4 linked regions of the Saccharomyces cerevisiae S288C genome follow. The main gene of each other region encodes a partner of the protein of the gene in region 4 in a complex. Each region holds a gene or a part of one and is shown on either strand. Other genes may lie near its edges.

What was found.
Region 1: RRI1 (region 4) and RRI2 share a complex: the UniProt entries of both Saccharomyces cerevisiae proteins name them as parts of the COP9 signalosome-like (CSN) complex.
Region 2: RRI1 (region 4) and YJR084W share a complex: the UniProt entries of both Saccharomyces cerevisiae proteins name them as parts of the COP9 signalosome-like (CSN) complex.
Region 3: RRI1 (region 4) and CSN9 share a complex: the UniProt entries of both Saccharomyces cerevisiae proteins name them as parts of the COP9 signalosome-like (CSN) complex.

The regions. Positions count from the first base shown.
Region 1 is NC_001147.6:93,360-102,265, forward strand, and holds RRI2 (Rri2p), read left to right. Parts: upstream 1-4,191; coding exon 4,192-6,129; downstream 6,130-8,906. Other genes in the region: 60S ribosomal protein eL18 RPL18A, read right to left, coding at 36-484, 932-1,043; MCH4 (Mch4p), read right to left, coding at 1,497-3,002; YOL118C (uncharacterized protein), read right to left, coding at 3,249-3,557; MSN1 (Msn1p), read left to right, coding at 6,450-7,598; non-canonical poly(A) polymerase PAP2, read left to right, coding at 8,116-8,906. UniProt on the Saccharomyces cerevisiae protein: Component of the COP9 signalosome (CSN) complex that acts as an regulator of the ubiquitin (Ubl) conjugation pathway by mediating the deneddylation of the cullin subunit of SCF-type E3 ubiquitin-protein ligase complexes.
Region 2 is NC_001142.9:580,561-585,854, forward strand, and holds YJR084W (uncharacterized protein), read left to right. Parts: upstream 1-3,172; coding exon 3,173-4,444; downstream 4,445-5,294. Other genes in the region: YJR079W (uncharacterized protein), read left to right, coding at 493-679; AIM24 (Aim24p), read right to left, coding at 1-1,056; EAF6 (Eaf6p), read right to left, coding at 1,354-1,695; ACF4 (Acf4p), read right to left, coding at 2,048-2,977; TMH11 (Tmh11p), read right to left, coding at 4,560-4,877. UniProt on the Saccharomyces cerevisiae protein: Component of the COP9 signalosome (CSN) complex that acts as an regulator of the ubiquitin (Ubl) conjugation pathway by mediating the deneddylation of the cullin subunit of SCF-type E3 ubiquitin-protein ligase complexes.
Region 3 is NC_001136.10:815,825-823,407, forward strand, and holds CSN9 (Csn9p), read right to left. Parts: upstream 3,373-7,583; coding exon 2,884-3,372; downstream 1-2,883. Other genes in the region: histone acetyltransferase NGG1, read left to right, coding at 1-736; E2 ubiquitin-conjugating protein UBC1, read left to right, coding at 1,054-1,701; succinate dehydrogenase membrane anchor subunit SDH4, read left to right, coding at 2,126-2,671; NVJ3 (Nvj3p), read left to right, coding at 3,609-5,000; cohesin-loading factor complex subunit SCC2, read left to right, coding at 5,471-7,583. UniProt on the Saccharomyces cerevisiae protein: Component of the COP9 signalosome (CSN) complex that acts as a regulator of the ubiquitin (Ubl) conjugation pathway by mediating the deneddylation of the cullin subunit of SCF-type E3 ubiquitin-protein ligase complexes.
Region 4 is NC_001136.10:65,901-74,223, forward strand, and holds RRI1 (COP9 signalosome catalytic subunit RRI1), read right to left. Parts: upstream 4,420-8,323; coding exon 3,097-4,419; downstream 1-3,096. Other genes in the region: YDL218W (uncharacterized protein), read left to right, coding at 593-1,546; translocation channel protein TIM22, read right to left, coding at 2,083-2,706; GDH2 (glutamate dehydrogenase (NAD(+))), read right to left, coding at 4,740-8,018. UniProt on the Saccharomyces cerevisiae protein: Catalytic component of the COP9 signalosome (CSN) complex that acts as an regulator of the ubiquitin (Ubl) conjugation pathway by mediating the deneddylation of the cullin subunit of SCF-type E3 ubiquitin-protein ligase complexes.

The sequences.
Region 1 (8,906 bases), on a different chromosome or scaffold from region 4:
AAAAAAGTAAATATGAAATTTTCATTTCAGTTAACTTACACCTTGAAACCCTTAGATCTTCTTCTACCTCTAGCTCTTTCGAACTTTCTACCGGTGGACAAGATTCTTGGAGCCTTACCCTTGTGTGGACCCATACCGAAGTGTCTGACAGCTTCTCTGGAGTTTCTTGGACCTCTCAAGATCAAAGTGTTTTGACCCTTTGGAGCTCTGACAGCTAATTGATCCAAAGTGATACATTCACCACCAGCCTTAACAATCTTGGCTCTGGCACCAGCAGTGAATCTCAAAGCAGCAACAGTGGTCTTTGGGAATTCAAAGATTCTGGCATCGTCAGTAACAGTACCAACAACGACAACAGTCTTGTTAGCAGCACCTTCTTGCTTCAAAGCTCTAGCAATTCTAGAGACAGAAACAGGTGGTCTGTTGATCTTAGACAAGAACAAAGCCTTCAAGACAACCTTGTTGAATGGAGCATCAGTACGACCTAAAAAAAAAAAATGAAAAAATGTTAGTAACTAATGGATCGAAGGACCGGAAAACAATAGTTTTCCGTACAAATATTTCATTAAATTAGAAAAAGATTCTGCTCACTGGTTTGCAATACCGCACAAAACGTGATGTAAAAGAAACATATCGTTCCTCAAATATACCCGTTTGCACTCGCAGAATTTTAATACGTCTAGCTTCTTCTGGTATGACTATTTTAGCCAGATTCAGTTCAATAAATTGACCAATAATTTGTCACATCAGAAGCAAAGCTAGATGATCGCGAAAAACATTAACCAATATTTTTCAGCAAACCATAACGAATATTTATAGAAAACCAATGAACTTACCAAAGTTCAGGATAATCTATTATATTCAATGTAACAGAATCCTTCTAACCATAATTGGCGTTGGTTAAAACCCTTGATATTATTCTTGAACATACGAGCTAAGAAAGTGTATAATTTGACTAACAATTTCAAGTAGACATTGTCAGACTTTGGAGCAGTTCTGTGACCAGATCTCTTGTGTTGCTTGGAAGTGTGATCGATACCCATTGTGAATCCGTAAGCTTGATGATCTCTTCTTGTGATGGATCCAAAATGGCAGAATTGATGAATCTTCAACTCAATTTGTTTTAAATTATCTCATACAATATTCCTTGAGGAACCAGAATCTCACGGCAGCACCAAGTCAGAGAGAGTGCGTGTGTTGGAGCGAAATTTCCACTGTAATCTCCAGCAAGAAAAAAATTTCATTCTGAATTAGAAAAAAAAAAAAATAGAATTAACACCCATGCATTATTGTCTTCGGTAAAAAAATTCATATCCGTACACCACATAAGATATGTAGAAAACAGTCTTCGAAATTATGAATTCTTGGCATGACGCTAAATATGTATATATGTATATATGCTTTAGAGTTTTTAAAGCTAGATCGACTATATAGCCACATAGGTATCAACGAAATACCCCCCCCCCCCCCTATTGGAACGCTTCTGAACGCTGACCTTAAAACTTACAAAGCTTCGCACCAACGCAAATATGCCTTGATATTATATAACATGCCGCACCTGCCGCCATTAACGCTGAATTGAATATTATAAAATGGTTATAATTTGCAACTGTACCTTTACCGATTAAGGTACCGCCGATAGGTAAAACCGGAATCGTTACCAACGCTTGCAATAGATATACCGTTGCATAACGTTTACCAAAATCAGTAGTTTTAGATATCTGCCCGATGCAAACGGGTGTCAGTGATAGGATAGAACCCGTCGAAAACCCCCACAAACAAACGTACGCCCAAAGTACCTTTGTATTACCGCCAAATGGCAGCCACATGACAAAATTAAATAAGGCAGCCATTGAAATGGTGATAATTTCTACATTGAATCTCCCGATGAACTTATCCGCAAAATAGCCTGGTATATACCTTCCAAGTATACCAACAGCATTCGAAGCAGTGATCATGGTATAAGCAACATTTTCTGTGTTTCCTCTTGTCATAGAATAAGATGCTAAATATGTAGCGCATGAAGTTAGGGAACTTTCTGCAAAAGAAGCGCCTATTGCGACGAACAAGAATTTTCCTTCCAAAAAATATCTCCAATTGAACACAGAGGAAATGTACCACTTTGCTACTTCCGCCTTGGATTTGAATGGTTGAACGACCGGTTTAGTTCTTTCTCTAGCCAAAACTGAAGCACAAATGAGGCATGTTAAACAAATGAATGATAGGATTCTAATGGCCCATTGAAAGCCCACTTCTTTATATAACTTTCTCAGCATAATAGGGAAAACTATACCCCCTATTGAACCCCCCATGGTACTTATAGATGTTGCTATACCCCTTCTTTTTAAAAACCAGGTTGCAACAGTTCCTATCAGAGGAGTCATTAAAATTCCCGTCCCAAGTCCAGAGCACACAGAAAATGCCAAAATGAACTGCCATACGGACTTACAATTTGCCAATGCGAATAGTCCTCCAGCATATATGACTGTACCTGTGCACATCAAACCAATACTACCATTTCTATCAAAATAGCCACCGGATAATATACAGCTTAAAAAGCTGATAGCTAAGTATAGGGAAAAAATCCAAGATATTGTTGAAGAAGATATATTTGCCAATTGATGTTTAGAGATATATGATTCAATAGCCCCTAAGGAGTTGATTAAGCCAAAAACCGGGACCAGTCCCATAAACGCACCAAATACTACCAGCCATGCTTTTAACCCACCATCTGGGAACTCTCTGTCATCATCATAAATCAAAGAGGCCTCTGGGGTGTTTAAAACTCTTGAGGTGACGTTCGTTAACTTATTAACGTCAAGATCTACTTGATCGCTGTTCTTTTTCAAAATCGCGTCCGCTGCATTGAAGTTTGGATTATATCCTGAACTTGGGCCCTCCCTTGTCTCCAGCTCCACATCGTGATCTCTCGTAGATTGCGCTTCGTGATCCTTTGAGAACAGGAACCTCTTGGAGTTAGCAATTATGGGAATGTTCAACATCCTCCGTTTGTTAAGTTTATGAAAAGCTCTTTCAATATGGTTACAAATAAAACAGAATCAATACTTTCGAGGTTATTTGCCGTGTGCCAAGGAATATTTTCCTTCTCTGAAATAGGCCTTTTGTTATATTTTAGATTCGCCTGTGACTCTTTGCCATCTCGCCTGTTAATTACCGCTCATAGGCACGGCTGACTAATTTGAAGCTATCGAAATTGCTATAAAAGGAAAACTCTCTTATCATCAAGATCAGGCGGATCTCCTGAGTTTCTGACCTATAGAGCCCCAAAAAATGGGATGACATGTACATATATAGTGGTCAACGTTAATATGAGTGGCCTCCCAATGGTACAGATGAAAGAAAAATTTGTTTTTGGCTGTACGGAATTGCTTCGTATAGAAGAAGGTCTTATCTTTCATACGTGCTTTTATGTACTGGTTCTTGCATCCAATCATCCTTATTAGTGTTTTCGTGCGGTCAATATAGCTCATTATGGAGTCGTTTATAATAAATTGACTACCCGCTGGAGGTTTGAGTTTTTTCTTTCTAAAAGACATTCAAGATCATACGGGGGGTAGACAACTCAGCCGTTTCCGGTAGTTATAGTCCATCAAGTGTTACCATAATACGACTGTAAAATTAGCCAATTCCTCGATGTCAAACATCCATTTATATACTGAGAAAATCTTTTATAGATGCCGCTTTTACTGCGACTAGAATTTCATCTATCGCACAATAGAACGTTTTCTTCTAGGTTACTTGCTTTAGATAACTAATTCCTCGAAAGCAGTGACAGTGATCTTACACTTTCTGGATTTCATTATGGGAATGTCGAGTTTGAGATTCGAGTTTTATATGATGGCAACAAGATTGCACAAACTTACTTTCTTACCTTTTTCAAATTTGATCTCTTAATACACACTAAGTATATAATGAGTATAACATTTGTGCATGTATGAGAGTAGTGGCCCATATATGATAACACTGGCGAAAGTACTCTGTAGCTAAATGCCAGGTTGGCACGTTTTTCTCGTTTGCCCAAAGTGCAGCTCCTTTTCGAAGAAATTTATCTGGTCCTCGCTGAAAAATATTATAAGGGGAGCTGGATCAATTGTTTTGTGATCTCTTTGACTAAATGAACTATTGAAACGTTTGACGCGGTAAAAGGCAAAAAGGTTCACTATACACAAAATGTCTGATGAAGATAACAATTATGACGACTTCATGTTATCGGATGACGAAGGCATGGAGTCAATTGAAATGGAGGAAGAAACCGATGATGAAGACAAACAAAACATTGAAATAAATGAAGACAATAGTCAGGATGATCAAGATCGAGGAGCGGCACGACATAAGCAACATGAACAAGGCACCTTCGAGAAACATGACAGAGTAGAAGATATTTGTGAAAGAATCTTTGAGCAAGGCCAAGCTCTCAAAGAAGACGAACGATATAAAGAGGCTCGCGATTTATTTTTAAAGATATATTACAAGGAAGAATTTTCATCTGACGAAAGTATAGAAAGGCTCATGACATGGAAATTTAAATCACTTATTGAGATATTACGTTTAAGAGCCCTACAACTCTATTTTCAGAAAAACGGTGCACAGGATTTAGTTCTACAAATTTTAGAAGACACGGCAACTATGTCGGTTTTTTTACAAAGAATAGACTTTCAAATTGATGGAAATATATTTGAATTACTTTCTGATACTTTTGAGGTATTGGCACCCAAGTGGGAAAGAGTATTCTTGTTCGACATCGAGAAAGTTGATAGGGAAAATATGATCTGCAAAATTGATTTCCAAAAAAACTTCATGGATCAGTTTCAATGGATTTTAAGAAAGCCTGGCAAGGATTGTAAACTCCAAAATCTCCAGCGTATAATTAGAAAAAAGATATTTATTGCCGTTGTTTGGTATCAAAGGTTAACCATGGGGAATGTATTCACCCCGGAAATTTCTTCCCAAATAGAGATTCTTGTGAAAGATAATGAATGCTCTTCTTTTGAGGAAAATAATGATTTGGAAAGTGTATCTATGTTACTGCAGTATTACATATTGGAGTATATGAACACTGCACGAATAAACAATAGAAGGTTGTTTAAGAAGTGCATTGACTTTTTTGAAATGTTGATATCTAAGTCGCTTACTTTCTCACAAGAATCTGGACTGATGGTAATATTATATACCTCTAAGATTGTATTCATTTTAGACTCTGATTCAGAGAATGATTTATCCTTTGCGCTGATGAGATATTATGATCGGAAAGAAGAGCTAAAAAATATGTTCCTCTATATCTTGAAACACTTGGAAGAGATGGGAAAACTTCGGGAGAGGGATATTACCTCTTTGTTTCACAAGTTCATTCTTAGCGGCTTCATTTTCACGAGCATGATTCTAGAAGCAATTAGCACAGACAAGATTAATCCTTTTGGTTTCGAACAAGTGAAGATTGCGCTAGGCAGCCCTATTGTTAACGTATTAGAAGATGTCTACAGGTGCTTCGCACAACTGGAACTAAGACAGCTGAATGCAAGTATATCTCTTATTCCTGAATTGTCCGTAGTACTAAGTGGAATTATTCAAGATATTTACTATCTGGCGCAGACATTAAAGTTGTGGAGAAAAATTGCACGATTATACTCCTGTATCTCCATAAGTGACATTATAAGTATGCTGCAAATAAGTGATGACAATGAAATGACAAGAGATGATTTGCTAACAATTTTAATGAGGTCAATAATGAAAAATAGATCGGTTGTGTATTTTAAGTTAGATTTGACAAGTGATTTAGTCTATTTCGGAGACGAGAATAAAGTCATGCTACCGAGATGTTCTAAAGAAGAATTTCGTCTTATGATCTCTCCCAAGGATGAAGAAACCACTGAAAAGGCCAGGCTAATAGATTTTGAGTACGTTAACGATGTCGCGATTTATAATAACCCAACAAGAATAAGAACCAAATCCTCTAAAGAATTTTTCAATACATTAAGAAAATCTAGGGAAACTGTAAAATTACCGAGGGTAAGCAACCAGTCGAATGAAGATACTTTTCTACCATCGTATATGAAGTTTTCCAACAAGTACCTCGAGCTGTGCAAACTGGCCTCTAACAATCTGGAATAGAATGTCGATCAGGCACGTTCGTGTAAACATTACGATTTTGGAATTCCACTTACATAAGATAGCTTCTTTGTAAAAGCCGTTCGAAGATTTCGTTTATAGTGATGCTTTTTCTGGAGAGATTTAAGATAATAAGGATATGTGGAAGGAAATGAAAATGTACACCTACAAAGCGTTGATGGTATGGAAACTATCGACCATAGTTTGTTAAACAGGAAATATTTGCTTGAGGGTAAAGTGTTCTGATTCATTATACAAAGCCCCTTGCTTATAAGAAAAGAAACCAAATCAGAAAAGGAGATTATTTCAAGGTAGGCATCGAAATGGCAAGTAACCAGCACATAGGAGCTTCAAACCTAAATGAGAATGAGGCTATATTAACCAACCGCGTTGCTGAGCTGGAAAGGCGTATGTCGATGTTTGAGGGTATATTTCACGCGTTAAGTAACCGTCTCGATCTTCACTTTAAAAAATATGATGTAGTGGTAAACTCCCAACAGCAACAAATCAACGAACTGACCGCGTTTTTATCAACATTGCTGAATGACCAACAACGCCACGCTGAAATTCTCAGTGAAAAATTAAGCGGAACGTTGCATGGGGTGTCAGCTACGTCAATATCCTTAAGCCAAACTCTTGACCCACAAGGCTTCACTGATGGAACTACGGCACCAGGAGCTCCTAGGAATTATACTTCAGTGCCTATGAATAATGATCAAACTGCTCATCCGCAAAATGAAGGAGCTGTTAGTAATGAAACACTTTTTGAGGACATTTTGAATGGAAATTCACAAGAAAATGATAAGAGTCAACAACAAACTAACAGCTCAAATTCTATAAGCCAAGAAAATAATAGCACCAACCCTTCAGTGGACACTCGGTTCAACAAGCCGCAAAATTATAATTCCAATTTAGTCCCATCCTTGGAAGAGTATTCAGCAAATCCACCTAACAATGATGGTGGCCAAAGTCAAGGACTGTACATAAGCAGCAACTCTTCTCAATCACGGCAGTCTCCTAATCTCCAGAAAGTTTCTCCTAACCATGAAAATGCGGTTGAATCAAATGCACAAGAGAGCGTGCCGACATTTGAGGAGGAACAGTATGAGACTAAAACAGGATTGAAACGGAAACGAATAGTCTGCACAAGACCCTTCGAATTTATCAAGTCACCACACTCTGTGATGGAGGTTTGGAAGGAGTATACAGAAGGTGTTAACGGGCAGCCTTCTATAAGGAAAATGGAAGCTCTTTATCAAACGGCATGGAGGCGAGATCCAGCAGTAAATAAAAGATATTCGAGAAGAAAGGTTCTTTGGAAAGCCATTCAAACTGGCCTTAATCGTGGGTATTCATTAAACTATGTTGTTGAAATATTAGAAAACTCAAGATATGTTAATGATAAACAGAAGGTTAAACAACCTATTGGTTGGTTATGCCACAGTTCTCATATTCCAGAGACTTTGAAGTGACATTTGCTTCTTGTGTATTCACCTTTATCCCAAATTAGCCCTTGTAACACTTATGCTTTTCTTAATAAATTAATAATTGGACTTTCCTTTAAAGTGGGTTGTATCTGTAACAATAATCTCTAATAATATCCTATAAAACTCAGAAGTCAGCCAACAACAATTGTATACGTATACATATCTATATAATATGCCTTGTACTTTACGCTCTTGAATTTAGAATAGCTGAACACCTAACTGAATTTAAGTAAAGGATCCCAAGCGTGAGATATTTAGGTTTACTCAGTTTTCTTATCTTGCCTTTTGATTATCACGTTGAGTGTCGAAGAAACCTGTATTCATCCTCGGCTTCTTGTATATGATTCTAAAATAATGTGTGAAAAAAAAAATAAAATAAAAAAAAGAGGAAAATAATATAGAATAACTATTAAGTTTCATTAAAAAAAAACCATTTGAATATACGACCAAAAACGTTACGCTTTCATAAAGTGTGAATAAGCAAGGGAACTATACTTGAAATATGGGGGCAAAGAGTGTAACAGCCTCTTCTTCAAAGAAGATTAAAAACCGGCATAATGGGAAAGTGAAAAAGAGCAAGAAAATCAAGAAAGTACGGAAACCACAGAAGTCTATATCCTTGAACGACGAAAACGAAGTAGAGATTTTACCTAGTCGTAATGAGCAAGAGACAAATAAATTACCTAAAGATCACGTCACGGCGGATGGAATTCTTGTATTAGAACATAAATCTGATGATGATGAAGGATTCGATGTCTACGATGGACATTTCGATAACCCTACTGATATTCCCTCGACTACTGAAGAAAGTAAAACGCCTTCATTAGCAGTGCACGGGGATGAGAAGGATCTTGCTAACAATGATGATTTTATCTCTCTTTCTGCTAGTTCTGAGGATGAGCAAGCCGAACAGGAAGAGGAGAGGGAGAAACAAGAATTAGAAATTAAAAAAGAAAAGCAAAAGGAAATCCTTAATACTGATTATCCATGGATTTTAAATCATGATCACTCCAAACAGAAAGAAATCTCGGACTGGCTAACCTTTGAAATCAAGGATTTTGTTGCCTATATCTCACCAAGTCGTGAAGAAATTGAAATTCGTAATCAAACCATAAGTACAATAAGAGAGGCTGTCAAACAGTTATGGCCAGATGCTGATTTGCACGTGTTTGGATCATATTCTACCGATTTGTATTTGCCTGGTTCCGATATTGATTGCGTGGTAACGAGCGAACTTGGTGGTAAGGAAAGTAGGAATAACTTGTATTCGTTAGCAAGCCATTTAAAAAAAAA
Region 2 (5,294 bases), on a different chromosome or scaffold from region 4:
ATTGACACCGTTATCATTCACGTTGCTCTTCTTAACGTGGCCCTTGGACGTTAGTTTAGTTAGAATATTATCTTTGGATGTTGTCATTTCATGCGTTTGAATCAATATTGTTCTTGGACCTTTAATCTTCATAAAGTACGAGTCGACACCATAAATGTATCTTTTTTCGTACTGGTTACGGATCCAACTGCGCATTCTTTTGAAAAATTGAACAGTATGTCCGTAAGCAGATTTTAGCGTTTGGTTCTTAATGAATTTAGGTGCCACCGTATCATTACTTGAATCTCCGACGTACGCGCCTTCCACGTGTAACTCTTGTCTCTCCACTGAATTTGCAATATCCAATTGACTTTGGCCGTTGATGGCCAAAATGTTTCTGGAATTAACCAGAATTTTGTCGCTTTCATCAATTAACTCAATTGAATATACCAACCCACCTCCACATACTAACACATTTCCTCTCCCATTCAGAATTTGAAATTTCCGTGGTAGTTGTGATTTTGATGAGTTCGAGACTAAAGACCTTGCAGAGGGAAAGATAGGCGATTTGATTTCCAGACTGGAGTTCTGTTCAAATGCGATAATTGAATCCTTGCCAAATACATTCCAATCCTTTGTCCCGGTCAAATTCAGTACGGACAAGCTTCTTGAAGAATCGAAAGGTCTTCTCGATGTTTGAAAGTTTGGGGCAGCCAGAATTTCTAAAACGGAGGATCCAATAATTCTATGAAACAATGAAGATTTGAATGAACGAAATTTAATCAGGTTTGACCAAAAATTCAGCCATTTATAGGAAAGGGATAAATGGTTCAAATTGTGAATGGAAACTAGGCAATCCTTTTTGATACAAATTGGAATATCTGGTTGAACAGTGATAGATGCAATTTTACCATTTTCGTCTACTAGCCTGAAACGGGAAGTCGCAATATCCTTGCTTAAGTTCTCGATATATGTCCTTTCTTTAGTTACGACATTACTCTCCGTCTTGGCCGCTTGTGGGCTCAAAAGAGAAATTGATCTCTGCCAAACTCGAGTATTCACCCTTGGGCTTATCATGATGGGTGGATATCCTTTTCTGTGCTTCTGTTTTGTTTATCTGTATCCGTTTATTCGCCAGCCAATAAAATGACTGGGAGCACGGGACCTTTGAAATTTTGCCCTTGTTAGTAAATCGTTATAAAAATACTTATATAGATATTTTATAGAAAATGAAAAATAAAAGAAATAGCCAATATGTAGGTATATCGAACTTAAAGGTCACCTGTCGAAATCATTTCCTTCTTCTCTCTTTTTCTTTTCAATCAGATGTTTTAGAGCGGTCAAGCAACGTAAATACCAACGTGTGCTATCGCATTAGTCGTTTTGTGATTGGCCATGCTGCTGCTTCACGTACGTAGCACTACTTAATGAAAAAATACGATCATTGTTATTGAATGCAGAATCTGCATGGCTGTGGTGTGACTTGGAGAAGGTATCAAACCCTTTTATGATGTTACCAGAATAGTGTGATTTTGACCCATGGGCTCCCCCATGACCTGAATGGTTGTTATTACTATTGTGTGAGAAATACTCGGTCTCTTTATCATATATCTCTTGTTGTAAGTTGTCAAAGGTATCTTCTTGCTCTCTTCTATCTTGGAGGGACTTTTTTAGTTCCGCTTTCAATGCTTCATAACTTTTCAGCTCATCAGTCATTTTCTTCTAGGCGTAGGTTGGTAACAAACGGAAAGATGATGGAAAATGGCTGTTCTCTAAAGATGTTTATCTTACGTATATTCTTTGCTTTCGTTGTGGCTTTACACACCTTTAATCATTAATTTAATGGCATAGTCGGCAAGTTGTTGAAGGACCTGGGTTAATCGCCTACATGTGAGGTTTTTTTAAAAATATCAATTACATTTAAAAAAGGAAAGCAGTAGTACCAAAAATCGGGCAAAAAAAATTTACCTAAATAAAGGAATGCATAAATGAAGCCGTTTAATCTTTGTATTTAATGAGAATATTACATATGAAGGTCTCTTGAGAAAGCATCAATAGTGGACATTAGCTACCTTTTAAATAAATGAACGGGTATGTCACCCATGGGTTCAAACTCTTCATCATCCTCGTCTTCACTGCGTACTTCATCGTATTCGTAACCCAAATTTTCTTTTATGTAATAGTGATCTTTCTTACTTTTCCTCTTTTCCAAAAGGTCATCGAATTCGTCCTCTTCCATATTCATTTGATTGAATTTGTTAAGTATTCTTTGTAAGAATGGTGTGTTCTCCCCAGCAGTTGCCGTGGTATTAGCATTCTTCATAGTATTCCTTGGGGGTAGCAAGGGAGGACCCGATGTTGGAGTTGATTCTGAACTACGGCTTGGAGCAATATTTTGCATACGTTGTGACCGATTAGGCGGAGGGTTCGGTTTACGATTGGGTAGAGTGTTATTTATGTTGCTATTAACATTATTATTGGGCTTACTAAAAAAATCGTTTATACTCTTTTTTCCCTTGAGCATATTTGGTGAATTATTTACGTCCACAAATGTCTGTTGAATTCTTTTGGTAAAAGTAGAGAGGTATTCACTTGGGTTCTGGTTACCTAATTTCTGTTGTCCATTTCGGGGCAGTGTATCTTTGAACTGTAACTCTAATTGTTTTAATTCTTTTTGGGCGACCTCTAATTTGAAACTAAGTTCATTGATTTCTCTGTGTTTTGCAGCTAATTTATATATTAAATCTTGGTCTGTTGAAATCGGACTTGCGTGGTCGCTCACGGGTGACTGATTTGTCGTAGATCTTTGCGGACTTGATATAGGTATAGCAAGTCTTTTGGGCTTTAAAGGTGTCGTAACCCTTGGTGATTTTGATTCAGGCTGCACTTCATGTTGTTTTTGATGCGGCTGTTGCTGCTGTCCTTGGGAGTGTTTATCGACAATCGACAGCTTATGTAATTCAATTGGTTGACTAATTACACGCTGGTCTTCTGACATTACTTTAGGGCGTATGTATGGATGTATTTTGTATTGCTTTTGGCTAGTTAGTAGTATTCCTCAATCGTATTGTTTTTGATTTTGAAAAAGCTAACGATAAAGGTCAGGAAAAAAAAAGAAAATTGTATGTAAAGGAATGTCTGGAGAGAGTTACACAGGAACAGAAAGGTCCAGCAACGGTTTCTACAACCAATCATGGATGTTGATATAGGATGTTATTTTGAAGAGAAACGCTATGACGACAAACTGTTAGACTTCATCAGATATGACGTTAAAACACCTAAAAAGACTAAATATATACTACAAAGGCCTACGGCGACAGATGAAGAGAGTGTACGATTACAAAGGTTTTACCAATTAGGAGTAGATCTAAAATTGAAGTATTCCAAGCGGAGGTCATTGAAGAAGCAAGGGCGGATCAAGAATGCTACTGAGGAATTGCTGCGATTAGCCAATGAACAGTTGAAACTTTTCAACAGAATAGTAGAAAGAGAAACCAATTGGATAATTTATCCGCTGTGGGTAATGGCTAAACAATTAATTCGTCTGGCAAACGAATCTAGTGAACTTAATAAAGACTCAATTGAGGAATGTGGACGCACTATCCATAGAAGCTTTACTATATGCCTCAATGATAGGAACCCAAGATTGAATGAAAATAAAAAAATCGGGTGTTATATGTTTGCTAATCTAGAGTTTTCCATCTACCATCGGTTAAGTAATAAAGATATGATTAAAAATTTAGTGAAAGTCCTCGAGAGCAGAGTGAACGCCCGGGATATACCACCGTTGAATAAAAGCCTGGCAATGGAACATAAGTCTCAAGTGGTGTTGTATAATTATTATCTAGGTCAATACTACGGATGTCTGGAAAACGATCACGAACGCGGGTTCTTCCATTTAAATGAAGCATTATTGCAATGTCCAATGCTATATGTGGAATCTACCGGCAAGTTCGTCTTACAGGGCCAAATGGAAAAGATAATGATACTGCTGGTTCCGCTTGCTCTTTTAACTAAAAGGTTGTACCCTCACTGGGATCATCCAGTAATCGCCGGAGTAATTACTAGGAGTAAGCGCTTAAGTCAAGTTTATCCGACATTAGTGCGTAGCGTAATCTCAGGGAACCTGTCACTGTACGAGGCTACCGCAGCAAGCCATGAAAGATTTTTCCTTTCGCAAGGATTGCATGTCGTCATCACATTACTTCGAGAGGTGGTCTTCACTCGGTTGGTACAACGATGTTGGCAATGGGGGAATGATCGGAAAAGTATCATGCCCTTGAAAATTCTTCTGGCAACAAAACAACACGATAGTTCTGCCAATGAGGACGAAGAGGAGCAGTTGGATGCCCTAGAATGCCGTCTAGCAAGTGCTATAGCAAGTGGGCTTTTGCGTGCTTATCTTTCTCACTCCAACCGCTGCATCGTTTTCAGTAAGAAGGAGCCCTTTCCCCATAGCAAATGATAGAAAAATAGTCAATAATTGAACGAAGAAAAAAAAAAGAAAGTTTGTTCATAAAAGAATATCATATTATATATATATATAGGGTCGTATATATATCGTGCGTCTTCTTCCTTCTCTAAGGGTAAAATTCCTTGTATTTGTTATAATAGTAGTAACTGCCGAGCCCACCCAAAGCTGTCAAAACGACAGGGACAGGTTTAGTGAACCTGGAAGGCATGCCTCTTATGACACCAGCACCAAGTAGTAAGGTCGATGCACCCAATGCCATTTCGAGCCCACCATCTCTATTCATATGTAGCAAGTAACCGGCAATCCCATATACACTACCGAATACTAAGCCAGATACTAGAGATGGAATGGAGCCCTTACGGTAGTATCCCATAAGGCCACCGGCTGTAGTCAAAAGACTCAATGTATATGCTGGATGTTCCATAGTGTGATCTGATGTTCCTTTCTCTCAAACTTCGTTTCTGTCTTGTCTCCCGCTGTTACCTAATAACTTCATGTGATCTGCTCCCCCTTCTCGTTAAATACCACCTTTTCATCAACCCCGTAGGGCGCGACACGTCTAAAATATTAACCTCTGAATACTTATTGGGTCAAAATGAATGTTGATAACTTTCCTTTACAAAAAAAAAACTAATAGAGTATATGCATTTCGGTAGTGAAATATTCGTTAATGCTAATATGCTCAGTAGTGATCCTAGATTACCAGTTTTACTGCAGCCATCGTACAATTTTGGAACGAGTATAAAGAGAGAAATTAAAAACGACAAGAAATATTCGTACTAGCTTCTCTTCCGGCTTGATGACAGTCTTAATATCATCTGCAACTCTTGAAATCTTGCTT
Region 3 (7,583 bases), 750 kb from region 4:
CGGGCCCAGTGTTCAAACACCTGACAATGACATTGATGAGGAAGCATCTTTCCAAGCAAAACTGGCAGAAAATAAAGGCAGTAATGGCGGTACTACAAGTACGTTACCCCAACAAATTGGGTGGATAACAAATGGAATTAACCTGGACTATCCAACATTCGAAGAACGATTGAAAAGAGAACTAAAGTATGTAGGGATATACATGAATTTGCCTAAGGATGAGAACAACCCTAACTCAGATGACCCCGATTGGGTCACCGGTAGAGAAGACGACGAAATAAGCGCAGAGTTAAGAGAATTGCAAGGCACTTTAAAACAAGTGACCAAGAAAAACCAAAAGAGGAAAGCCCAATTGATTCCACTAGTGGAAAGACAACTAGCATGGCAGGAATACTCATCTATTTTAGAAGATTTAGACAAACAAATCGACCAGGCTTATGTCAAACGTATTCGCGTACCCAAGAAAAGAAAGAAGCATCATACAGCAGCTTCAAATAATGTGAACACAGGAACCACGTCTCAAATAGCACAACAAAAGGCTGCAAACTCAAGTTTAAAATCCCTTCTGGATAAAAGGCAAAGGTGGATTAATAAGATTGGTCCATTGTTTGATAAACCTGAAATTATGAAGAGAATCCCCAATGAAAGCGTATTCAAGGACATGGACCAAGAAGAAGATGAGGATGAAGCCGATGTATTTGCACAAAACACTAATAAGGACGTGGAACTAAATTAAAATATACGAACTCTAAGGAAAAATACGTAGCATAATAACGCATATAACTAACAATTTGGATAACTATCCATAAAAAAAAAAAAATAGTCACATAATACGAACATTAATATCCTTTTTTGTTACATTTTCTTCCATCTGAAATATTTGGAGGGGCAAAAACAATGAGATGACAGTTGAATGCATGAACTTCCGATCGCGGGCGTATAGGTAAAGTCAATTGAAGCAAGTGTGACGACATAAGTATCGTAATTTAGTGGTTGGATACATTAAAAAAAACAAGTGGTATATATATAAGTAGTAGTAGTAAGAAGTAAGCGATGTCTAGGGCTAAGAGAATTATGAAAGAAATCCAAGCTGTGAAGGATGATCCTGCAGCTCACATTACTCTTGAATTTGTGAGTGAATCTGATATCCACCATTTAAAAGGCACATTTTTGGGCCCACCTGGAACACCTTACGAGGGTGGCAAATTTGTCGTGGATATCGAAGTACCTATGGAGTATCCATTCAAACCACCAAAGATGCAGTTCGACACAAAAGTATACCATCCAAATATATCATCAGTGACAGGTGCCATTTGTTTAGATATTCTTAAGAATGCATGGTCGCCAGTGATAACACTAAAGTCTGCATTGATTTCGCTACAGGCGCTACTACAATCTCCAGAGCCTAACGATCCTCAAGATGCAGAAGTAGCACAACACTATTTACGGGATAGAGAATCTTTTAATAAGACTGCTGCACTATGGACGAGGTTATACGCCAGTGAAACTTCCAATGGTCAAAAAGGCAATGTAGAGGAGTCTGATTTATATGGGATTGACCACGATCTGATTGACGAGTTTGAATCTCAAGGTTTTGAAAAGGACAAGATTGTGGAAGTGTTGAGACGATTAGGCGTCAAGTCCTTAGACCCCAATGACAACAACACAGCCAACCGTATCATCGAGGAATTGTTGAAGTGAATAGATAAAAAAAAAACGCACCAAGTAAGTAAGTAAATAAAGAATAAATAAACTATATGAGTAAAACACCAAGCGAGGATGTTTCATTGTGCATCCGTGTTCTTGATGATCACATAACTGTAAAAGAATAATACGGCACGTTAAATGTTATTTTAGAATATATAAACACCTTATGTGCCATAAGCATTGAGCCAATCGCTGCTGTTTTTTTTATTCCGGGGCACCTTCGGAAGAACACAGGCGCAATTTAGTTATATAAGGAGAAGCCCTCGAGCGATCAGGGGACCGACTGCGGATCGCTTTAAGGCAAAGATAGAAGGATAAATATCTGCTTTGGAAGATAGTCGTATCTAATTTCCCATTCTGTTGTTTTCTTGATCTTTCCTACGCTTTCGACTTTCTTCCTACGCGCTTTATAATAGCTATGATGTTGCCAAGATCCATGAAATTTATGACTGGAAGGAGAATTTTCCATACTGCCACAGTAAGGGCCTTCCAGTCTACCGCTAAGAAGAGCTTAACTATCCCATTTTTGCCCGTATTACCCCAGAAACCAGGTGGTGTTAGGGGCACTCCCAATGATGCCTACGTCCCCCCCCCTGAGAATAAATTAGAGGGCTCATACCACTGGTATATGGAAAAAATCTTTGCCTTGTCCGTCGTTCCATTGGCTACGACGGCTATGCTGACAACCGGTCCGTTATCCACTGCAGCTGATTCTTTCTTTTCTGTCATGCTTTTGGGATATTGTTACATGGAATTTAACTCTTGTATCACCGATTATATTTCTGAAAGAGTTTATGGTGTTTGGCACAAGTACGCCATGTATATGTTGGGCCTTGGTTCTGCGGTCTCCCTTTTTGGAATCTATAAACTAGAAACCGAGAATGATGGTGTTGTTGGTTTAGTAAAAAGTCTATGGGATTCTTCCGAGAAAGACAACAGTCAAAAGATTGAAGCCAAGAAGTAGATAAATCACCACGAATCATTTGTTCGGTCATGTAACATGCACATCTATAGCAACGACGTGTCTCCTATCTTTTGCTTTTACCTTGTTTTCCGCCGGTATATTCCTTTGCCATATTTACTAGTATTTATTTATTATTATTTATTCTTCTATTTTTCTTTTATTTATTTGTTACTTCCTAATATCGTCATTATTATGCCTTTTTCATATTTGATTTACTCCAATATATTCTGTTTGAGCTTTGTTTCCCAGCTCCGAAGATTTTGAACTAAATACTCTTTCGTCACTCGCGGATTTTTAATTATAGTCAGTTCCTTTTCATGACAGTACACATCTCTACAGTCAAATCTTCTTGAAAATTTCATAGATTTACTGACTGAATCCATCTCTGCTTTAAAAATATTCTGTAGCTGAATTAAATGGCTTTCGATGATACCATCGTCTTCAATTTGACATTCTTCTTTAATTAACTCGTAACTTAACTCATTATATATTTCGCTTAATGTTACCAATGTTAATTTCTCCAGTTTTGATCGCATTAATGATGTTAGGATTATGTTTTCCGGTAGATCTTTAATGTTTCCAAAGGCAAATATTTCGAATAATTGTTGTTCATCGGGATCTTTAGTATTTAACCATTCTTCTTTGTAGTGATATTTGTAAGGATCTTCTAGCGATTTTATTGTTTCTTCCCTCATTACCATTCTCTCTTATCTGTACTACGTAGGTCATCACTGTTATTGTTTTTTATTTCTTTGTTTACTATTGTCCGTAATATAAATACATATTAAAAAAGTTGATGATGAGTTGCTCAATAATTTTCGCATTCCCTAAGATACAACGAACCAAAGGCAAGATAACAATAATATAAGAAAAAGCAAACGCGATAAGAGCCAGGGAAGTCAATATATACTGCACGGCTTTATTTCTATATGTGTAGATGCCTACCATTTTATACAACACCAATTCCAGTTTAATTACCAAGTACCGAAGGCCAAATGCCTCAAATCAATATAAAGGCTTTCTGTCAAAAAAAGGACATACACGACTGAATTCTAAATCGAGTGGAGATATTTGGGAGAAAGATTGTAGTCATACGAAAAATTCTGGTAATGATGTTTCGTTTGAGAGTGAATTTGAAAAAGATTCGGTTGAGTATCTAAGGGATTTATGTTTCTCTATATACCCAAATTCATTACATCAGAAAATCAGAAGCATAGAAGCTTTGCCAGACCTACAGGTAAATACCTTTATTGCCTTAATTTTCCAAAATTTCGTTAAGTCTTGGTATGGTATCAAAATACCCACTGATGATTCCAAGTTTTTAACCGAACTATATAACTTAGTTCAAGATTTAATAACATATTTGAAGAGTTCCAAAATCAATTACCATGCCCTTTTACTCGATTATATTCCCTGCTTGCTTTCGTCTCACTTGAAAGCATTAAATGACTCATCTCAAAATAACGATTTAGTTTATGAACAGTACTGTAAGCTAACTTTGTATGATTCGAAACGATATCCAATGCTATTCACTGAAATCATACAAAGTAAAATGAGCACCAAATCTCTACTACAGAGAAGCTTTTTGGATAGCTTTTTAAATGAACTTGTGTTCGGGCATATTTTTAATTCAATAGCGGAACCATATTATCTTCTGGAGGGCTTGAATAAAATTTGCATAAGAATAAAGCTAAATTCTGCAGGAAATACCAGAAACGAGGTGACTCATGGAAAGCCTAAATGCGATCCCTGGTTGTTTGTTTCCAATGTAAAGCACAAAATATTGCAAATGACCAGGCTTTTAGCTTATTCAACTTCAACAGAAGCAGCAAATATGAACACTGCCGAAATTCAAGAAACAGCATTTCTACAAAGATATATTTTTACTTTTTTCACCGATGATTTTTTCAAATTATCTATGAGGAAGCCATTCCTATTCTCAATATGCAGAACGCTTCAGCATTGGATCTCTAAATTAAATGCGTTAAACAGGGTCATGTATAGAACATTTGACAATATTGTTCAAACTAAAATTACCAGCCCTGTGACAATTGGCAACTTATTCTCATTATTACGACATTCTTTGTTTCCTAATGACAATATGATGGGGCCACCAAGAGTATTACCAGTGGGTGATGCTTTTCTAGAGTTCAGAGAAGAGTGTATTTCCAATTTATGGGATGTTTGTATGACTTATAAACTTGATCATATCCTCGCTATCAAAAGGTCTGACATAGCGGATCTTATTATCTGCATATCGAAGAATAGGGATTGCAATAAACTGCTAATTTATAGAATTATTGACTGTGTTATTGCGCAGTTGCCGTAGACTTCGTGATGTATAGAGTATTGTTGACAAATATTTGATGTTACCGAAATAGCACTCTTTGTAGCATTATTACCAATTTTTATACTATGAAGTAAGGTCTTAGGAAGCAAGAACATTGTTAACAAATAGCTTTTATGACCTAATCATTAGCACTATTCATTGCCAAATATGCAAATATCTATTCCTTTTGCCCGAACAGGTAAAAGTGGTATTGCTTTTATGTTAAACGCGAAACTGCCGCCACTTCGCTTAAAAAAAACACTGGCTGAAAAAGAACGATGCAGTTTAGTAACTAAAGTTTTTTCTAGCTCAGGCTTAGAGTTCGATAACAACAAGTCACATTCGAGTGCTCCACTTATAGCAATTTTTCTTTTGTGTATTGGTTTGCTCCTGTGTGCTCAGGCTTTTCGTTTGTTGTGAGAGTATTGTTCTTATAACTATTCATTTTTTGAAAGAATTGGCGGCTAGCAATGTCGTACCCAGGGAAAGACAAGAATATTCCTGGAAGAATAATAGAGGCCCTAGAAGACCTGCCTTTGAGTTATCTGGTTCCTAAGGATGGGTTAGCCGCGCTAGTAAATGCCCCAATGCGGGTTTCTTTACCTTTTGACAAGACTATCTTTACCAGCGCTGATGATGGCAGAGATGTTAATATAAATGTTCTAGGTACAGCTAACAGCACTACTTCTTCCATAAAGAATGAGGCCGAAAAAGAAAGGCTTGTTTTCAAAAGACCCAGTAATTTTACGTCATCAGCCAATTCTGTTGATTATGTCCCAACTAACTTTTTGGAAGGATTATCACCGCTAGCGCAGAGTGTTCTATCAACCCATAAAGGGTTGAATGATTCCATTAACATCGAGAAAAAAAGTGAAATAGTAAGCAGACCGGAGGCAAAGCATAAGCTCGAAAGTGTGACTTCGAATGCTGGTAACTTGAGTTTCAACGACAATTCTTCCAACAAGAAAACCAAAACTTCAACAGGTGTAACCATGACACAAGCGAATTTAGCGGAACAATATTTGAATGATCTTAAAAATATTTTAGATATTGTTGGATTTGACCAAAACTCTGCTGAAATTGGAAATATCGAGTACTGGCTCCAGTTGCCAAATAAAAAATTCGTTTTAACTACAAACTGCTTAACCAAATTACAAATGACAATTAAAAATATTACCGATAACCCACAGCTATCGAACTCAATCGAAATAACATGGCTTTTGAGATTGCTTGATGTGATGGTTTGTAATATAAAGTTCAGTAAAAGCTCTTTAAAGATGGGTTTAGATGATTCTATGTTACGATATATTGCTTTGCTTTCTACAATTGTACTATTCAATATTTTTTTACTGGGTAAGAATGACAGCAACTTACATCGGGAATCATACATCATGGAACCGGTGAATTTTTTAAGCGACTTGATAGAATCTCTAAAAATATTAACAATTGAATATGGTTCTTTGAAGATAGAATTTGACACTTTCCAGGAGGCCCTAGAATTGCTACCGAAATACATACGTAACGGCCCTTTTCTGGATGATAATGTCACGGCAAAGCTTGTGTACATCTTTAGCGACTTGCTGATGAATAATGACATTGAAGCAACTACGAATATCCAATTTCAAAGTTTTTGGGATAATGTGAAGAGAATCAGCTCTGATATTTTAGTTTCATTATTCGGTAGTTTTGATCAACAGAGAGGATTTATTATAGAAGAACTACTATCTCATATCGAAAAGCTTCCCACTAAGAGAATACAAAAAAAACTAAGAAAAGTTGGTAACCAAAACATTTATATCACTGATTTTACCTTTACTTTAATGTCAATGTTAGAGAATATTAATTGCTACTCCTTCTGTAATCAGATGAAGGATATTGCACCAGAGAATATTGATCTATTAAAGAACGAATACAAAAAGCAAGAAGAATTTCTTTTTAACATTGTTGAGCATATAAATGACACAATACTGGAAAGGTTTTTCAAGAACCCGTCCGCTTTAAGGTATGTAATTGACAACTTTGTCCAAGATCTATTATTGCTAATTTCCTCCCCTCAGTGGCCTGTAACAGAAAAAATACTAAGCTCTTTGTTAAAGAGACTTCTAAGTGTATACAGCCCATCCATGCAAGTTTCTGCAAACATTGAAACAATATGTTTACAACTTATAGGGAATATTGGTTCTACAATTTTTGATATTAAATGCTCAACTAGAGACCATGAAGATAACAACTTGATTAAAATGATTAATTACCCCGAAACTTTGCCGCATTTTTTTAAATCATTTGAAGAATGCATTGCATATAATGAAACGATCAAATGCCGTCGTTCTGCAACAAGATTCCTTTGGAATTTAAGGCTCGGTACGATCTTGATATTAGAAGAGTATACAAAGGATGCCAAAGAACAAATTATAACCGTTGACAATGAATTGAAAAAAATATTGGAGCAGATAAAAGATGGTGGACTTGGACCCGAATTAGAGAACAGAGAAGCAGATTTTAGTACGATTAAATTGGATTATTTTTCTATTTTGCACGCCTTTGAACTACTGAATCTATACGATCCATACTTGAAGTTGATAT
Region 4 (8,323 bases):
CCCCAAAAAAATGAATACAAAATATCTGTGATGGATTTTTGAATTCACGCTTCCTTCAATAACCTTCGCCAAGAAAGTCTAGAATTGTTTTATATTCTTTACATAAAAGTAAGTAAATCAACTTTAAAAAACTTTAAGGGCGAAAATGAAAAAAAAAAAATGTAAAAGTGAAAAAAGGGACGGCGAAGCGATGCCCTGCCAGTCTTACTAATCCAGAGGGCTAAAAGCATGTTTACAGTGTATTTCCAGTCATAGGAGAGTATTGACCTGGCATGGAAAAAGAAACGCACAATGAGAAAGGGGATATATACCCTTAAATTGACGATAGTTAAGGAGATTTTGAGGTTTGTGTTACTAATAAACCAGTAAGCATACTCGTTGATGACTTTAACGTATATTTGGTTTCCAAGGGATATTGAAACCGTATCTTAAGGGATGACGATGGTTGGTTAACATTCCCTAAAAGACAACGTATAAAAAGGTTCAACAAAGCGTCCGTTACCATTATGCTTTGATGTTCTCAGTACGAAAGTTTACGGTTTTTTTTTTCAATTGAGGAACATAAACCAAATAGATATATTATATCAACGTTATGAAACGAGTTACTGGAGTTTTCTTAACACTTTTGAGATTTTCTCAATTTGCATCATCGGTTTTGGTGATGTCACTTTTGGCGTATGCCATCCACGCCTATGGAAATAGAGGTAATAAGAAAACCAACTTCACATTGGCAACAGGTGTCATTAGTGTGTTTTATCTGATTGCCTTAGGTATTTTGTGTCTGGCCCTACCCACATTGATCTACATAGGAATGTACTTCTGTGCCGAATTGATCGTTTGTATGCTATGGCTAGCAGCTTTCGTTGTTCTTGCCAAAGCTCAAGGTGAACGTAGCTGTAGCAACACTAATGCAGACGGATTATACTATAATCCGTACAGTGGCCAATATACTGCTGACAGTCATAGAAGAGCATGTAATTCTTCTCAGGCGGCAATCGCCTTTTCTGGCCTTTGCTTTGTACTGTTTTTGATCAGTGTGATATTACTGGGAATTAATGTCTTAACACCTATCAGGAAGCGTTATCAAACCCAAGGAATGTGGAGAAGCGGCGCTTCTATGGGTACAAAGCTCCATAGGTGGAGCGGACTAGCTTTAAGCGAGCCTTTTGAAGAAACAGCTGCTTACGATAACACCAATGTTAGGACCGGTGATGTCGAAGCAGGTGCAGGTGATAATGCTGCTTACACATCTGAACCGAATGGCGACGCACGCTATGCAACTAATGACCCCAATGGGCAGTACCATACTACCACCACCAACACACGTTACACCACAACAACAGCGGACCCTAAGACGCGTTACACCACCAACGATCGTAATCCTGGTTCTGCGAATGTCGCTAACAGTGCAGTGGACCAGCACGCTTACTCTACGGATGAGTCAGGTGATCGGTCTTATCAAGAAAAGGTCACAGAAGGAGCTCACTCTGGCGCTATGAGTGGTAGCACTGCAGAACCAAACAGGAACGTCAATCAAATGCCATAAATTCAATGATTTCCTTTTTGTTCGTCTATACCCTTCACATACTTTTTCTTTTTCTTTTTCTTTTCTTTGCTTAACGATTTGAATTGCTCCTGTTCTAATAATGGCGTCGTCTTTTAGAAAATCCTTATCAGGTGTGAATAATGCTTAATTTTTTTTATATATAATGATTTACTTTTATTACTTCTTATTTTTATATTTTCCTCTGTCAAATATGTGACTGAAATCTTCCAATTTATTAATATTAAAGTGTGACTATCACTTGAGTTTAGCGACAGTCTCTAACGCCTCGAATTCATCGACATGGGAAAATTGGAAAGGGTATCGTTTTTACACTTCCCATTTTCTTCCAGCAAAAATGATCGGCCCAGAGTCTAGTTAAAGCATGATTAATTCTCCCAGGGAATTTTTTTGCTTTACTAGTAACAGTAGTTCTGGAAATTATTAAGCGTTCTTAAATTCTGGGACGGTCGTGCAGAATATTAAGATAGGTGATATTTACAAATATAAAACATTCATCGTTCGTCGAAATTGGCTATTCATTCTTTAAAATCGTTTTGAGGTGGTCTACCATCCTCACTTTTCATATACAAATCAATTGCAGCTGAAAAGGCAGCAAACCCGGCACCACCCATTAAGGCAGCTTGTGGTCCAGCTTTGTATGCCAGCCCAGCACCGGTAAAAAACCCTGCGGTTACTCCGTTGTAAATATCATTTTTAGCTCTAAGTGACTCTATGACACACTCCACCCCAGCATATATCATACCAATGTAGCCAAAATTCTTAGCACTAGAGTAGGATTTTTTACCCATATCGGTAAATTGAAGTTTCATTTGCTGCCGGAAAGGTAAATCAGATATTTGCTGAACTGTTCTTGATATTCCACCCACACCTATATTTCCCGCAGTTGCAGTTGCTGCTGTATTTGCAGGTGTAGGTGTATGAAGAGGTGTATCATATGCCATTGACGCCATGAACAGGCCTAAAACACCACCCAGTGCAAACCCTGTTACACCACTCACAACTGATTTTCCAGGACAGGAAGTCATGAAGTTCATGATCATTTCAGCACCCCGTTCACCCTGTTCTTCCGGAGTTAGTTCATTATAAGGTTTCTTTTGAGCTGGACTTATCTGCTCCAAACCAAATCCTGTGTACACCATCTTCGTATAAAGTATTTAAAATCACAATTTCTTGATCTTATTTGGCAGCTATCTCTACTATCCCGTTTAGTACTATCCCGTTTAGTAGTGACAGAAAAATAGTATTTTGTCCTGAAAAGCTTCGGATTTTATATGTACGAAATGGATCCGAGGAAATGCTGTCTGTTTTATTAGAGAATTAAGTTGACTGATGCATCGTCTTTCTCTTCAGTTGTAAGCTCGATGCCATTTTATCAGTAAGACCAAAAACCAACACATAACGGCGTACGAAAATATCAAATTGTCACCCGGTATAGATATACTTATAGAGATTCAAGAAGGAATAACTATTAAAAGTACGTTGCAGATAAACATAAGCTATTGCAGCGTCATTGGAGCAACGTTAGGAATTCATAATGTAAAGGTGTCCTTGTAAAAACGTAACCGCTCATATTGTTTTATCTTTGACGCAAGTATTCGATTTTTTGCTCTTGCATAATCTGTCTCCAAGACATTTCTCTGTAACATATCATTGCCCTCATCATGACATCTTTCCTGATTGCTGTTCATGCGTTTTTTAGAATTGTGAAAATTGTCGGTAGACCTGCTGCTTCTTTCCACGCGATTTACATGAATGCTCGGTTCGCCGTTTATGCACAGACTAGTGTCAGTACTGTCGAACTCGGTAAGGTTTCTATCTTCCATATCTACGTCACTAGTATTATCACCTGAAAACATGCTTCCAAAGGAGCTTGTTTCAGTGCTATCCCCCCTTTGCGTATTGAGGCAGAACTGAGACCTTGTTGAACGGTTTTGATAGTCAATGTTTTTTTTATTTTCGTTGCTAACACGTTCACTGGTAGTAGCCAACTTAATCCTTGTTCTAACATTTTTGGAATCCATCAAATAGCTATACTGCTTCATTGAATCGATCAATCTATTTAATGATATTTGTTCTGACTCATCATCCTCTATTACGCAATGTAAGTTTAACTTTGTTTCAAATAGCGCTCGGTTCAATTCTGAATCAAATATGATTGTTTCTAGTTCATAGTATGAAGTGGCACTATTATCATCACTTTTACTTTCTATTGTCCTAAATGCACCCATTCTTAAAATTTTATCTTCCAGACTTTTCAAGGGATCGACCACAATTGCGACATATGGATCTTGGAATCTCTGGTTCAAATCCTGGGTTTGGATATCTATATTACTTAACCAACAGTCGTAACCAGGATGTGAATGGAACCAGCCAACAACATTCAGTTTAGCGCCCTTGTAATCTCGCCCATCACCACCGTCATTATGATTATACATCTCGTCGATATATTGAACCATATATTCGTATGACTCCAATTGTGCATTTACGCGAGTTTCTGTCCCTACTACGGGAAGATTGAAACAATCCATTACAACAATATTATCTTTTAATGTGAACCCCATTAATATGCCCATGATTTCAATATTTCCTCCACGAACTGCATAATGGGTGATCTTTTCACATGATAATTTTGATATAAGTACGTGGGTGTAACTCGGAATATCTGTACTACTTTGTTGTTTTAGTTTAGTTTTGAGCAAGGAAGATTGGCTTAGCGCATGAAATTCAGGTTCTTGCGACGGCTTGAATCGCATACTTGATAGCGCTATAGATTCAGTTAGTTCATCTTCCACGGTGTACCTTTCCTTTAGTAGTTGTCGTAATTCCTTTACAGTCTTATTTGAAAGTGACATGCTGCCTCCTGCAGTTTTTATTGATTTTCGATCGTTGTTATTCATTTTTAGTTTATTTGAAAAACCCTTTAATAAGAGCGCTTCCTGCGTAGCGCGCCTTTCCTAAAGTTTCAGCTGAAGCATGGCTCCCTGAGGAGAACTGCCTAGTATAATGGATAACTCGAAGGAAAAAATATCAAATGCTTTTTTTAGATTAAAAATAATGGACATATAAACAACTTTACTTAGTACACAATAAAACGCTGAGAAGAACATACACATATGTTTAATTTTCTTTTCTGACGGCAGAACTAATTTATACAAAACAATTTTATTGAAGCTCAAGCACTTGCCTCCGCTTCTCTTTTTAACCCACCAATAAATTCCAAGAATTTTCCAATGTTAACATCGATACCGTTCTGGTAAACAAAAGTGCTTGATAAGTAACTCGACAGAAGAACTTTCAAATAGCTCTCTGGAATGTTTTCCAATACGGACTGAGGCCCAGCAACATCAATCAGAATTTTTGGAATTATTTTATCCAACAATAGGTAGTTTCTTAATTTTAGATCATTGAGCCACAACTCTTGAGAAGCAACTAGATCGTCGTTCAATTTGTTTATAGTGAAGGACAATTGGTTTGAAATTTCTGAAATGTGGGTTCCATTTAGTTGATTCAAATTCCATAACTGACCAAACTCTAATTCAGCATTTTTCTGAATTCTTGACTGCACTTCTACAACGTACGACTTGTACAACGCAGACCTCTCACCACTAACATCTCCAATAAATTTGTGCACGAAGTCGTTATCGTTAAGCGCTAGTGAGGCCAACACTTCCATTGATGAAGATGTGACACCACCTTTGTTTGCAGAAGCATCTTTGAACAGAATACAGCCATGTTCCTCCAAAGCATTTTTAGCAGGTTGCGTTATAAATAGATTGGCACCCTCCACAATATATGGAATTTTACATTTCCCAGTCTTTTCGTCAACAAAATAATGTAGATTATTTAGAGTAATTGAGTTTGGTCTACCACCGCATGGAACAAAAATGTCGACATGATCCACAAATTTGAAAATTTGAGTATGAAAGGTGTTTCTGAAGGTTGTGCCGTTAGCTACAATTGTACCATTTGGTAGCATGATATCCATTGCATCCACAGAAACAAAAAATCCGTTGTTTGATAATTTGGAAGTGTCGAAATCGGAAATCATTTTCCTTTCATGTGCCAAGCGGCATAATTCATCTTTATCTAAACCTTTAGGATCACACAGGACACCTGAACCGTCCAGAATTGCCAAATAACATTCGTTTGGCGAAGATAAAAGAATTTCATTGGATCCCAAATCACCATCCGGACCACCAGTTTGGAATTTGTAAACAGTAGAATTTGTCAAGTTTAAAGTTTCGTAAATTTTATTAACATAAGCACGAACACCCAGAGAAGTCATACCATATTCGTCATGGGGAATACCACCCAAAGATGGGGATTTTCCAGTCAAAAATGATTTCCACCATGGGCAGTTCCTCACACGAGCATGGTTAGTTGCCCAATCCACGAAACCAGCAGTTCCTTCATCTGGGCCAAAAAATAATATTTCCTCCTTTGGTAAAAGGTTGACATAGTTTTCCTTTAATGGATCGTTGATTAGAATGTCAATCATTGCATCCACATATTGGGAAAAGGCGACAAATGTCTGGTCATGTTCTACCAATCCTGGGTTCAATAAGATGACACCTTTAGAGCCACCCTCTGGAATATCCTTATTTTTACGTTGCTGAGTAGAGGCCAATTGATAGTTCTCATCAATAACGTTCTTGGAATTCAAATCATAAATATCCTGATTCCTGGAACAGACTATACGAATACCGCCCCTTGCGATATCTCTGAACCTGATATGGAACCCTTTGAAAGTATTACCAACGACAAAAAATATACCATAGGGTGTCTCTGGATATTCGAATTTTGTCATCACCAGGGAAGGATCTAATCTGAATGATATTGCTACTTTTCTTGTAATAAAGAAATTTGTCTTCAAAATAGACTTGTTGAAGATGTTCAGTGTTTTCAGGATCAACAAATCAGGTGAATCATTTGGAATGAATTTATTCAAGTAAGCTTCGAACTCTTGGTCATTCTTAAAAGGCTCCACTTTTTCCAGTCTTTGAAAAGATAATGTCTTCTCCATATCTTTAGTACTATTATGATAATAGTGAATTTGAGCAAAATTTTTATACAACTTGGAAATTATAGTGTAATGCTTCGACATGATGTTGATAATAGTTTGCTGAGTTAAGGTTTCATTTCTTAACTTTCTTTTTAGGTTTTCTACAATCTCCAAAAGAGTAGTATCATTACGCTTAATGGTGATTTGAGATAAAAGGTTTTGATAATCAGAGCCTAAACGATTAACAAAATGGTTAATGAATATAGCACCAATATGAGCATATATAGCTTCTTTGGGCGAGAATTGACGTCTCTGGTAAACCTCATGGAAAGAATTGTTTGGGATAGCGTATAGCAATGAAGCTTCTCTTTCAACCTGTTTCAATGCTGCCTCCACATCGTGAAGTAGAACATCTTCCAATTGCTGGTTCTCGTTCAAATAAACGGAAAAGATAATGATGTCATCATCCTTAACATTAAACGACTCTAAATAGAACTTAGAAGGTTTCAACTTGTAATAGTGGAACAAAGAGTTCAAAGCAGAGTAATAACGCTTAGTGGTGAATCGCTTGTAAGCGACTAATAACCTAATTTCATCCTTATTTTCTACGGAGCGAGTAGTCTTAATGACAGGACCTTCTCTTTCTTTAACCAACTTAAGTAAGAGACCGTATAGTTTTTTATTTTCGTTCGACGAAACTTTGTACATGGTCTTATCACTAATCGATTCAATATCACCTTTCAGCAAATCCTGAGAGGAAATATCTACGCCGGCTGGATCATCATTAGGGTAAACACTCTCATAAACAAAAGTTAGCTTTAATTCGCTTTCTGGAGCCCAAAAAGAAACTAATCTGCAGTTTTTTTGAGACTTGTTATCCAGGAAAAGGTCATCAATTTCGGAATCTAATTCATAAGGTGGACAAGAATCATCCATTTCAATCCTATTTTTTTTGATGGTATCCTTACCATGCTCCAAAGTATCGTTTCCGACGGCGTCACTAGCAAATTTAAAGTTTTTTTGCTGAGAATCGCTTATGCTGACACCAGTATTAGATTCCATAAAGATGGCATGATTATCATTAGTTATAATTTTGTTTTTAATGCTGAATAGCCTTGGCTGAATTCCGTTGAATTTGGACTTCGCAAAGAAATCTAGCTTTGAAGCATACAAAGAATGTATGATATTCGAGATTAATTGGGGAGATTCTCTCGAGAAGAACAAATCGTCAATACCCAATGAGTTATAAAACCAATCTACTTCTTGTTCGATCAAATCGTCGGGAATAAACCCTTGCTGATCTAGCAAATCTATCACTTCCTCTCTCTGCAGGTCCTTACCGGGAAAATCAAACACGTGATAGTCCGACATGGATGATATTGATAAAGAAGCAATATCTGGTGTGTTCAGTGAGTTTAAAGCACCGCGATTTTTGTTATCAAAAAGCATTCTTTATTCTTTTTATTGTTGTGAATTTAATATCCTTGTTTTGTATGTTTTGTTGAGATCGTGACAATCACAAAAAGGATTATACCAAAAGGTAATGTATTTTTTAGAAACCGGTTGTTCTTATATAACAAGAATTCTGACTAAACAGCAGCAATGAGTAAACGCTTGTCAGTGTTGATGTCGACAGTATAACTTTTGTTATTGTTATTGATGCCGCCGTTGACTCGTAGTTACTTGTCCTACTCAACTATTAATGTGTATTTTTACCCCAATTGCTCCTTGTTGTGGCACGCCGTCAGGCAGTA